Linked DNA regions of Danio rerio. Each later gene encodes a partner of the first gene's protein in a complex. Links are inferred from orthologs where the notes say so. Each region holds a gene or a part of one and is shown on either strand. Other genes may lie near its edges.

Region 1 (5,905 bases):
AACTTGGATACGGTCCGGGCAATTGAACCAAGTGTGAAAGCACCCTAAAGGTCACTTTAAGCTGTATAGAAGTGTCTTGAAAAATATCTAGTCAAATATTATTTACTGTTATCTTGACAAAGATAAAAAAATCAGTTATTAGAAAGGAGTTATTAAAACTATTATGTTTAGAAATGTGTTGAAAGAATCTGCTTAAACAGAAATTGGGAAAGTCGCTTTGGATAAAAGTCGCTTTGGATAAAAGCGTCTGCTAAATGACTAAATGGAAATGGAAAAAAATAAACAGGGGTGCTAATAACTCAGGGGGCTAATAATTTAAACTCCAACTGTGTGTGTGTGTGTGTGTGTGTGTGTGTGTGTGTGTGTGTGTGTGTGTGTGTGTGTGTGTGTGTGTGTGTGTGTGTGTGTGTGTGTGTGTGTGTGTGTGTGTGTGGGTATATATATTATCACAAGCACTTATGTTGTTTTCACTCGGTAAAGAAAATAATTGGATATGTGTGTACAGCTATTCAAAAAAATGATTACAATTTTAAAAATGAAAATGTAATTACTAACATAAAAAATGTTGCATAATTTTAGTAACACTTGTTTTGTTGTCTTTATTCTCAGAGTTTTTGTGCTGCTCTGCATCAGGAACTGAAAGAGTACTACAGATTGCTCTCTGTACTTCATGCACAGGTGAGTATGGGACAAACGCTTAATGTGCAGGGGAAAATGTGTGTGCGTTCAACCCTTTTCTGCCTTTCGTTCTTGGCTGGAAAAAATCTGCAGGATATTGTAGTAAAGTTTTCAGAACAGAAGTTTGGGGAAACTGATGCAAAGCTCCAGCCAATTTTTGTACCCTGTCTGAAATGAAACAAATTGCTCCTGTAACCTTTTCTGACTGTTGCATCCAAAGCAACTTGTAATGACGACAACCAAGCATAAGAAGCCGTACAGTGTATTAGTGGAATAAATGAATGAATACAACAATCTTTTTTATTATATATTAATAATTTTTTTATAATTATTATGATGATATAATTTTAACATAAAAAAATATAATGGTTTGATTTAAGCCAAGTGATGCTACATAAAACATACCTGCACAAAACAAAAGTTTAATGTTTAATATTTAATTTGCATTATATCTTCTTTTAAACCTCTTTGAATACAGAGGGATCCCTTCTCATCATTAATAAAATAAATATTAATTATTAATTAAATATTAAATATTAAAATAATGAATTATAATTATTAAAACAATATTTCACATATCAGGGACATTGAGCTTCTGCCAGTAAGTTTTAGATATTTTGGTATTAGATATTTATAGTAGAGGTGCAAACATTTAGACTTAAGGGCACTACCAATGACTCCAAACGTTTTCAGATTTTCTTTTATTCATTCATTTTCTTTTCGGCTTAATCCCTTTATTAATCTGGGGTCGCCACAGTGGAATGAACTGCCAACTTATCCAGCCCTTCCAGCTGCAACCAATCACAGGGAAACATACATCTATACACACTCATTCACACTTATTCACTACGGACAATTTAGCTTACCCAATTCACCTGTACCACGTTTTTGGACTTGTGGGGGAAACCTGAGCACCTGGAGGAAACCCACAGGAACATGAGGAGAACATGCAAACTCCTCACAGAAACGGCAACTGACCCAGCCGGGGCTCGAATCAGCGACCTTCTTGCTGTGAGGCGATTGTGCTTCCCACTGCCCCACCCTGCATCCCTTCAGATTTTTTATTTATATATTTATTATTCTATTTTGAATAATTCGATTTTTATTCACTGTTTTCATTTTCTTCATTTGTCTTCATTTGAACTGATGTTTCCGCCATTAGTATTTATTTTCAGCTCTCTGCTCTGAGGCACCTGTATTACTTATGGGCCGGTCTAGCCAATAGCATAATAGCACCTACTGGGGATATAGCAAGACCCCATCTGATTGGTTAAATTTGGATAAATGACCTATGCATGTAACAAGCAAATACTCTTTGATTCAGATATTGCAAATACTATTATCGCCACAATGATAACTATTTGATATATTGTTTAGCCCAACTCTTATTTACATACTTTGCACTATGAAATCATTTGCAGGGCAGTTTGTGTTCAATTATAAAAAAAAAATAATAATCTAAAACATATAAATACAATGTTTTTGTATTTTTTGCCAGTTAATTGGTGTGAATGTGTGTGCGTTCAGCTCCAGGTGGAGGACGATCAGGGTGTAAATATGAGTGTTGACAGCAGTTTGACTCTGAGGAGACTTCTGGTGTGGACCTACGACCCCAAGGTTCGACTAAAAACACTGGCCGCCCTGGTGGACTACTGCCAAGGTTGGTGGTTATACAACTCATCCTGTAAATACCGTCATACCGCAATAGCAATTTCTTTCAATATTACCGTGGTTGTGACTCAATAAAATTATAGGTCTTCTGGTAAAAAGTTTTCTCAGGCGAATGGAGCAAATGGGAGGTAGCGGAAACTACAATTTTCATCAGCCCAGGCGTGGCCATCATCCTTTGCGGTCTGTTGTCACTACAGATCCAGTAATGCAGAAATGGAGGGTGCTGCTAGTAGGAGCAAAGAAAAAGAGCTAAAAATGGTCAAACCTAAAGCGGGTTTTAAATCAGATGCATGGAAGCATTTCAGTTTCTCTCTGAAAAGAAACAAGAAAAAAGAAAAGGTGACAGAAAAAAAAATACAATGCTGAAATACAAGTCGGGGAATATGGCTAACATGATGGGGATTCTTTTAGTCAAGGGGACAGCAGAACACAGCACACTGCTCAGATTGATGGAGACATTGACTTGTACCACCAAGAGACTTCTATCTCACTCATGGCTTGTCCTTTCGAGTGGTGTTTTTTTTTACATGGTTTAATATTTTTTGTTATTAAAATTTAATAATTTAAGTTCCTGTTTGAAAGTTTACAAATAGGTAATTTGTATGTCATTGATCTGTTCAGTGTTGAGGTTACCTGAACATTCTAGCACTTTTTTGAGTCTCTTCAATAGTTTTTTTTTTCCTTTAAATGATTCAATAAATACCGTACCGTGCCATTCATACCGAGGTATTACCGTATCGTGAAATTTTGATACCATTACATCTGTAATATATATATATATATATATATATATATATATATATATATATATATATATATATATATATATATATATATATAATTTAAAATATGAGGCTAAAAAAAAGACTTTTGACTTTTTTTTTACTTGGGCCAGTGAAAATTTTGGCAGGGCAAGTAAAAAATCATATTTAATGTTCTTAATGTGAAATATTTTATGTATTTATTTATCATCTGTTATTATGATTTACATTTTTATTATTATGCAATTTTAATGTTAATTTTTTATCTATATTAATTTTGCTTTTAGCCATTTTATCTTATTATTTTAGCCAATGATCTATATTAATTTTGCAATTTAGCCATAGGTTGCTGATATGACGGTAAATAAACAAACTCTGGTTTCTCTCTCAGGGCGTAAGGGTGGAGAGTTGGCCACTGCTGTACATGCGTATGGAAAGACGGGTGACCCCAACATGAGAGCACTGATCCAGCACATCCTTGGTCTGGTGTCTCATCCGATTCTCAACTTCTTATACCGCTGGATTTATGATGGAGAGCTGGAGGATACGTACCATGAGGTCAGGAGGAACACATACACACTCTGTTTATGTCAAAGTCACACAATAACTTACTTCATACTTTAGTGTTTATTTTATGGTTAACACTGCAAAGCTGTACTTCATTCTTTACACTGTGGCATTCATTTTGCTGGCAATCTACAATTAAGAGACTATTGCAGTGATTTCTTTTTTTAAATGAACTTTTAATTTTGGTCATTAAATGTCCTGGAGAGTTTCACAAGCCTCATTTCTCAAGTAGTGGAGCGTTAAGACCTTTTTTAATAGTGTCTCTGATTTAAATTTCATTAGCAATGTAAGGGTTGCTCCTTTTGATTCACTTCCATTAATCATTTCAGAGTCTTTAGACCATTTAAGGATTATCTCTTATATTATTAAAGCATTTATGAGAATTTTGGAAGAATTTATTTTTTAATGTATTATAATTTATTTAATTCTCTTTATTTAATTTTTAAAAATTATATATAAACTGACTGGCCACTTCATTAGGTACATTTGCCTTCAGAAAATATCTATGAGACATTTTTACTCACAGAGCTTGCACAGTAGCTTTTTTTTTTTTTTTTTACTCTTTCTCTTTTTGTTTCAACCCATTTTCTGTAAACCCCAGAGACTGGTGTGTGGAACAACTGCAGTAGATCAGCAGGTTTTAAAAATTCTCTGACCAGCCTGTCTGGCACTAACAACCACTCCACTTTTAAAGGTTCTCAAATCATCTTTCTTCTGGATTGTGACATTTGATTTGAACTTCTCCATATTTTGACTGTGGCTGTTTCTCGATTCCACAAACACAGAGAATAGACTCGTGTTTTCATGAAGACCAGTTCTGCCAAGTTACCTCGGAACCATCTCGGAAGACCGCGAGAATACATCCTCTAAAAAAATGACATTTTTCCTGATGGTCACATGACATTCACACATTTTAATAGGAAAATATTTAAACATTACAACATTTATACAATAATTTATATTTTTAATATATGTATATAGCATGCAAACAAACCTCTAAAATACAAAAACAAAAAACAAACAACAAACTAACAAACAAAAAACTAACTAAACTGATTTTAACATGAACTTCAGCAATAAACACTGGAATCTCAGCGAATATTTGCTCTACAGACTTGAGAAATATATCCACATAAAGCCTTAAATCTGTGCTTTTAAATGAACCAAGTGCACTTGAAAACTAAAATTTTTTTTTGGTTTTGTAATCTGTATAAAACGAACGCAAGTCTGTCCTGTCAAACGCACATTACATGACAGCAGCCTCTCAAACGCCCACAAACTTGTAAACAAAGAGTCACTATCATTTCTGTAGGACATTCGCCATCAAGACAAGTTGTGAACTGCAGAAGACGAGCGCGATCAGACGAAGCATTATTGGGATGATAGTGTGTAGCACGGCCATAAATGAAATTTTCACGACAAACAAAAATGTTCATTTTGAGTGCGCATGCGCATTACCTCGGGCAACCTGGAAAAAGTGCTGATTTTGTTTGAATCAAACATTTAGAAATGAAGCTTATGAGATGGTTGTTGCCTAATTTTAGTGGTTGCTGTCAAAGTTAGCGTGTTAATGCACGTGATTAATTTGAAATGTATAACGCGTAAAAATAAATAAATAACGCAAATATCACAGTTGCAGTTTTTTTATTTTATTTCCTGTTGTGGCTGACGTGTTCAGGGTCGGCGCGTCTATAGAGGCACCTAGACGGGCGCCTTAGGCAGCAGAATAGTGAGCAACACCCCCGGTCCTCACATTCATGCACTACACCCACCCCCTCCCTCACAGTGCTTACTTTCATCATGCAAGCTATCAAAGACAGTCCTATTCTCTGCCTTTAAGCTACTAACAGGAGTCCTCACATTTCATAAGTTTGATGGAAATCATTTTTGGAAATCACTTTTGTTTGTTATTGGGATTGATGGTTTTGAAATTCAAATGGCACTTACATGTCTGTGTTTTTATTTCTGTAATAAATATGGCACTTATTTGATGGTGATTAATCATGATTAATTACAAAAAAGTGTGATTATTTACGTAAATTTTTTTTAATCATTTGACAACCCAGATAGATAGATAGATATATAGATAGAGATTGATTAATTGATTGATTGATTAATTGATTTTAGAACAATAGATAAAATGTTTCCTGCTACTCCTAAACGGCAACAATGGTGGCTGTGAGAGAAGAACAGTTTCATATAAAGCAAACAGTCGCACGAGAATCCCA
Region 2 (6,657 bases), about 15 Mb from region 1:
TTCTTTTAAATACCACATTTATGCATCTAACAGATGCAAATATTCAGTCTTGTCATGCCATTGGATGCAAGACTTTGTATATAGGTTTGTTAAAGTGTACTTAAACTTACAGCACTTAAAAACTTGTCTCTTTTTTTATGCGATTAGTACTATATTTCTAGATTATGCAGGTGATAAAGAACAAAGTGCTTTGATCCTGTTATATTTTATTTAACTTATGTCAGTGTTGTTGTCATGTCAATTTTACAACAGTGTCTCAGGGGTGGCAAGATTTTCCGGTCCATCACCAACATTACATGGAGGATTTTAACCTCTCACCTCATCTATGTGGTAAAAAAGACCACAGTATAAAATGACCAGTATCAGTTTTTGAAAACAGATTTTTATTCAAATGTTGAGTTTTACCAAACATAATAATTATAAAATAGTAAATATTTACTTGTTTAATTTTAAAGTTATTGAATATTTATCAAGTCAACAGAACTGGTCCTGTGTTCTTTTGTATGGCCAAATATCTGCTTGCTGCATGGAGAATAGGTGATAATTGTAAGGAAAGTGACGCTATCAGTGCCATTAGCATATAAGTAGAGAGCTATGAGCTGAATGGTGTTGGAATTGTGCAACGTGTAAATAGTTACTTTAAAATATTTGAGTATGATTAGGGCTGATTTTCTTAAATATTATTTAGCTCGCAAATTGAATAGCATTTGTTTTTTAATTTAAAACACCAGCCAGGAAAGACATTTTTTATTATTCTATATACTCTGCAGATACAGACATGCACATGTCAAAGTTGTCATTTACTTCATCAAATTTTGTAAATATAGATTATACACGGCAATTATTCTAATTGTGTTTTGATTTGTGTTGCGTGTAGATATACAGGCCACTGTTATGGGCCTGCATAGGCAGTACACCCTGTAAAAAAACATTGGATCTTCATAGCTTTTGCTGCAACTTTCTGCTACTCCAGAGGCCCAGCATTGCAATATTATATTTTCCTGATACATTTTTTTTAAATGTAAAAACTAATTTATTTCATTACATTAGAGGCCTCCAATAACATCTAAAAGTGTATTTTTCTACGTTTGGGTCTTTCAGGGTAAACCAAACCCTTGCACTAAACATTTTTAACTACAATTTATAAGTATATGACCATATGCTATTTAGCATCTTCAAAACCATTAAAAGAGAGAGTGTGGAAAAAGAAGCAGAAAAATGATGGACTGCCATCAAAAAACCTACCTTTAGTGAGTCTGAGGCTCTTCTGAGTTCTTTGATAACTGATGACAGGGCTTCGGGATTGATCCCCTGCTCACAGAGACGGACACATATTGACAAAGACTCCATGTCCAATCCTGTATTCAGCAGCCTTGATATCTCCAGGAGAACTGAGAGTGAAAGAATGAAACAAATCATGTCAAACAACCTTGTATGTAAATGTATAAATAAATGTATTATGAAATAATTTGGTTAACGCAGTAAGTGTAGTTATTTCCCCCTTCTGAAAACAAAAAAACAAAACAGAAACATTACAGAAGTTCTAAAGGACTTCATTTTACCTTCAATTTAATTTAACCTCTTATGACAACATATTTGAATTGGTTTTAGTACGTTTTGAGACATAATCAACTAGAATGCCACCAATAAAATGCAACAAAGAAATTACCAATAGAGATATTATTATTAATTTACATTATTAACATTTTTATTCACACTTATGTTTCTTACGTTACTTATGTTTAGTTTGTGAGGATCTGTATCGCCATGTAATAAAATAACAAATTACAGACCCAAAGCTAAGAGGGGTTCGAGTGGTTCGAAATACCCACCCACACCGACAAAGTTCCAGAATTTGCCACACACATGAGCTCAATAGTCCAATTTTATCTGCTAAGCCATCAAAAATTGCAAACACATCCCATAAATAGCTTTAGGACAAAGCAGAATCTGACACAACTGTAAGTGAAATCATTTTTCACTACTGACCAACTGCACTGTTGTTAAATAGAGAAAACATTTTACAAAAAACTTTGATTCTAAATCTTGGACCTTAAGCAGCAAAGCTTTAGTTATACTAAAGTTAATACCTAGGCTATTCTTGTGATCCATGAATTTTCAAATGTACTTTTTTTTTTACATGGGAGGCTATAAAAATCATCAAGCTTTATTTATTTATCTTTTAATATACAGGGTTCATACACATTTTTACTACTAAAATTCCATGCCTTCTCCAGGACTTTTAAGTAAATTTTCATGACCTAATGTTTGCACTGCATATTGTAAAACAGTCAACAATCTATTTAGTTTAAATCTATTTTTATATCTATGTAAAATGTATTTATGTAATGCTTACACAGCACAAATAATGTGAAAGTAGGGCTAAACAATATATAGTTTGAGCATCTATATTGCATTATGTGTATCCACAATAGCCATATCACAAAATTAGACTGTTTATCAAAGATTAAAAAGTTATTATTTTTTAGGTTATTTATACAGTGATGTTATTTTACGTTTTATTGTATTTGATTACTTTTACACTCCTTAGAAAACCATAAAGCACTGTTTATTTTTGCTCTGTCTTGTTTGAATATGCTTGTAATTTATTATATTTTATGCTGATGCACTGCATTGAAAAAGATTTAATTATCCCAGCTGATCTATATGAATGAAATCTTTCTTTCCAAGTAGAGCTGTTCAGTGTTTTTGAAACTAATGAAGTCAGAATGCAATAATTCATTTTAATTATTTAGCCTGACATGTTTACTGTTTCAAAATACTTTAAATATTTCTCTAAATAAAAAAAAGTTGTTTAAAGGGGAAAAAGTTTTTGTTTTTTACTTAGACATTTAAAAAGAATATATATTTTAGTAATCACAATACAGTCATATTTATATACAAGGTTATCATACAGTACCATCAGAATCTAATACCAGTCTATTTCTAATCGCAGTAAAGTGAAATATCACAATGTAAGATTTTTCCAATATTGTGCAGCCCTATGTAAGAGCATGTTTTTGGCAGAAATGGACAGAAAAAGAGGTAAAGAAAACCAACTTATATTCAAGTTGATATTTGTTAGTTTTTTGTAATTCGATCAAATGTATGTGTTGCTCTGTGCAATAGTGGAATGTGCAGTATTGCAATGGGTTAGCTAGCTAGCAAGGTCAGCTGTGATCTTTTAAGTTGTAACAATAACAACATGAATGCTAGTAATATAATGTTAATTGGTCATATATTAATAGAAATTAAATGGATAAAATCACATTTTAATGGCAATACGTTTGATTAGAAATAAATACAGGGAACAGTGTATTAATGAGGACCACCATGTTCTATGGTAAGTGGAAGAAGAAATGGACAGATCTGGCTCTTCCTGCAGATGAAAGTGATGTTGAGATGGGTTTTAGTGACCGTGAGAATGATGCAGGTTGGACATTTGATAAGAACAGTGATGGAGACAGTTCAGGTAAGTTTGCTCGGAGGCATTTAAAACAGGCGTAGTATAGTATATAGTATATAATATATAAACAATGTTAGCTAGTAACTACATTGATACATCTAGATAGATTGTACTGGTATATTTATTATAATATTTACTTAAATGTTTAGAAAATATTTACCTTTACCGTGTTGTATACATTATAAAACAATATTATGTTTTAATAATATTCAGCAAAAAAGAATGGAATAAATAAAAGCTGTTGGAATATCAGTTGTTGAAAAGTATGCATAAGGTGTCATTTATAAGTTCTGTGTTAAAGCTTATAATACTGCAACACCAGTTAAATCATTTCAAAGAACAAAATTATTCATTAGAAGGAAAGTTCTACATTTAAATTTTCTAAGTTATGTCCACTGTTGGACGTCGATGCCATATGGCAACATTTCATAAAGTAACGTTACTTTAAAAAAGCATTTTTTTGAAGTGAATAACTGCAACAAGGTCCACCATATGAGAAAATAAAGAACCACCCCTTTCACCAGGCTGTCTACGGGCATGCATTATAATGACAGCATTTCATCATTCTACTGATGCATTTAATCTTACCATCCATGGTCTCGCGGACAGCGTTCATGTTTGCGCTTGCAGGACTAGCCATGATGCTATCGTTGCTAAAGCTATATGATTACTTAACAGCGCACTATCTTTCATTCAGACGACACTGATGCGTCTATCTCTGTAAACGTTAGTTGCTGGCGTTCTCTCACCATTCGCGAACTTACAACAAGGGTGAAAAATATAAAACGCATTCAACAACAAGCATGAACTAACTGTCAGCCGTTATATTTACACCTCCCGCTTGATGTTATGGTAATCCTGTCAATAAAGTTGCACACGTTCGAAAGGAAGTTACGTAGACACTGAAAGGGTGTCGTTCTTCTCACCTGATTGGCTGTTTTGCAAGTTTTGCTCGATTGTGATTGGCTTGCACCGCTTGATCAAAAATTAAATCAGACGTTGGAGCAATTCATATATCACAGTTACGTTTGTTTGAGTTTCGTTACGATGTAAGTATTTAATTAACTAACACATGGTTAACGTTTTCCCCTTCTTTTATAACGTTAAGACTGCTGATTACCAAAGGTAGAACATTGTATCATTGATCTTTTGTGTATGTATAACAAGATATATAACTAAGCAAACATGATGTTCATCGCTCTGATTTGTTGATACTTTAAATAATCTCCTCTTTTCCGTGTTTTACTCTCACACATTCAGCGTGCTCAGCTGGATGTCTTTTTAAAGATGGGAGACATCGCAAAGATTCATATAACTCCCGAGACTCCTGCTAGACCTACTATCCTGAACCCGTTTGAGAGCCCAAACGACTATCACCGTCTGCATGAGTCTGTGGTGCCCAGTCCGTCTGTCTTTAAAAGCTGTAAGAGCTCGTCAGCGGTGAGTAATTAACTGACTCTACTACATATGAGGAAAGAACTAAAGGGATAGCTCACCCTCCCAAAATGTCAATTTCATCACTATTATTTACTCTTAAGTGGTTCTCAACCATTATTAAATACTCTCTTCTGTTGAATACAAAACAAGATATTCTGAAGAATGTTGGGGGACGAAAACAGTGATTGATATTCATAGTAGACACTAAAAACATGATGGAAGTTCAATTCATGTTTTTTTCTATTTTTACAATGTAGAATGTTTCAAAGCTGCTTCTAGTAGATGGAAACTGTGTCAATCCAGAGTTGAAGTTCAGTTTAGTGTAGTTCAGTTTACTGTGATTTAAAATTCACTGCTAAAAGTACAAATACAGAAGAGCAAGTCCATTGATGTGCAGCTTCCCAAGTCCCAAACCTAGCAAGCCAGTTGTGAGGAACACTTTGGTCAGTTGTTAAAGTTTGAAGGAAAAAAAAAATCAGTCAATGGCTGTTTATTTCTGAACGTTCTTTTGTAAATTTCTCTTTGAGTTCAACAGGGGAAAATCACTCAAACAGGTTAAGGTTGAGTAAATGATGAGAGCAATTCCAGCATTACGGATGTGACATTTGCAGTAAAAACTTAAAGCATACACATAGAATGTACAGTTAAAGTCAGAATTATTAGCCCCCCTTTGAATTTTCTTTTTTTAAGTATCTCCCAAAGGATGATTAATGGAGCAAGGAAATTTTCACAGTATGTCTGATAATACTTTTCTTCTGAAGAAAGTCTTATTTGTTTTATTTTGGCTATAATAAAAGCAGTTTTTAATTGAAAAAAAAAAACATTTTAAGGACAAAATTATTCGCCTTTGTAAGCTATATATTTTTTACACTGTCTACAGAACAAATTATCAATACACAGTAACTTGCCTAATTATCCTAATCCGCCTAGTTAACCTAATTAACCTAGTTAAGCCTTTAAATGTCAATTTAAGCTGTATAAAACTGTCTTTCAAATATTATTTACTGTCATCATGGCAAAGAATAAATAAATCAGTTATTAGAGATGAGTTATTAATACTCTTATGATTAGAACTGTGCTGAGAAAATCTCTCTGTTAAACAAAAATTGGGGAAAAAATAAACAGGTGGGCTAATAATTCTGACTTCAACTGTATATGGAAACATCTGATTAAATTTTCCAAAACAACTAACCACAGAGTTATGGGATCTGACAAAATATCAATCTGTAAGCATTTGTTATATTTTAAATGAGGAAAATAGACATGCTTTTTTATGAATGTGACCAAAAAAGTCTGTGAGTTTGCAGTATATAACATACTTTGTAGAAATACTGTGAATTAAACTGCACAACCTAAAATAAACAATGCTAATCAAAATGATAAGAGTTGGCTCACTGTAGAACTAAAATTATTGATTGTATTTTTTTTGACATTTTTGTATTTATGTGGAAAAAGCTTCTTTATGGATGTGGCATCTCTCCATTATGGATGTTACATGTTAAACTGTCACTCATGTGACTTAAATATAATTGTTTAAAAACATTGATTGAGACATTTTTGTGTATTTTTACAGTACTGTAAAATACAAGCCTACACAAAAAACTTGGAAAGGGTTTTGCTATTTTGTTTAAAACTTTATATTTTTTATGGCAAGGTTGACATTAGCATGGAATTGCTCAAGTGTCATTTCTGTTTTTACTTCCTATTGTAGACACCAGCTAAGTTCAAATGGTCTATTGATGAAATGGCAAATT

What was found.
Region 2: the proteins of tubgcp3 (region 1) and mzt1 are in contact, whole or in part, in a cryo-EM structure (PDB 7QJD), measured with the Homo sapiens proteins. The link is inferred for Danio rerio from reciprocal best matches to the Homo sapiens genes TUBGCP3 and MZT1. Residues at the interface, in NP_006313.1 of Homo sapiens: Lys7, Pro9, Leu12, Leu13, Asn15, Leu16, Cys17, Arg19, Ile20, Leu21, Arg23, Val28, Gln31, Tyr34, Ala35, Val38, Ile39, Asn42, Phe43, Ala44, Pro45, Thr46, Ile58, Leu62, Arg67, Asp70, Phe74, Leu77, Lys80, Leu81; in NP_001065243.1 of Homo sapiens: Asn17, Ala20, Val21, Glu23, Thr24, Val27, Leu28, Glu30, Ile31, Ser32, Arg33, Ile34, Leu35, Asn36, Thr37, Leu39, Asp40, Glu42, Thr43, Ile46, Cys47, Val48, Arg49, Leu50, Cys51, Glu52, Gln53, Gly54, Ile55, Asn56.

The regions. Positions count from the first base shown.
Region 1 is NC_133176.1:49,730,676-49,736,580, forward strand, and holds part of tubgcp3 (gamma-tubulin complex component 3), read left to right. Parts: intron 1-609; coding exon 610-678; intron 679-2,205; coding exon 2,206-2,338; intron 2,339-3,501; coding exon 3,502-3,668; intron 3,669-5,905. UniProt on the Homo sapiens protein: Component of the gamma-tubulin ring complex (gTuRC) which mediates microtubule nucleation.
Region 2 is NC_133176.1:34,320,881-34,327,537, forward strand, and holds the start of mzt1 (mitotic-spindle organizing protein 1), read right to left. Parts: upstream 4,342-6,657; 5' UTR 4,107-4,341; coding exon 4,055-4,106; intron 1,392-4,054; coding exon 1,246-1,391; intron 1-1,245. Other genes in the region: bora (protein aurora borealis), read left to right, coding at 4,754-4,906, 6,615-6,657. UniProt on the Homo sapiens protein: Required for the recruitment and the assembly of the gamma-tubulin ring complex (gTuRC) at the centrosome.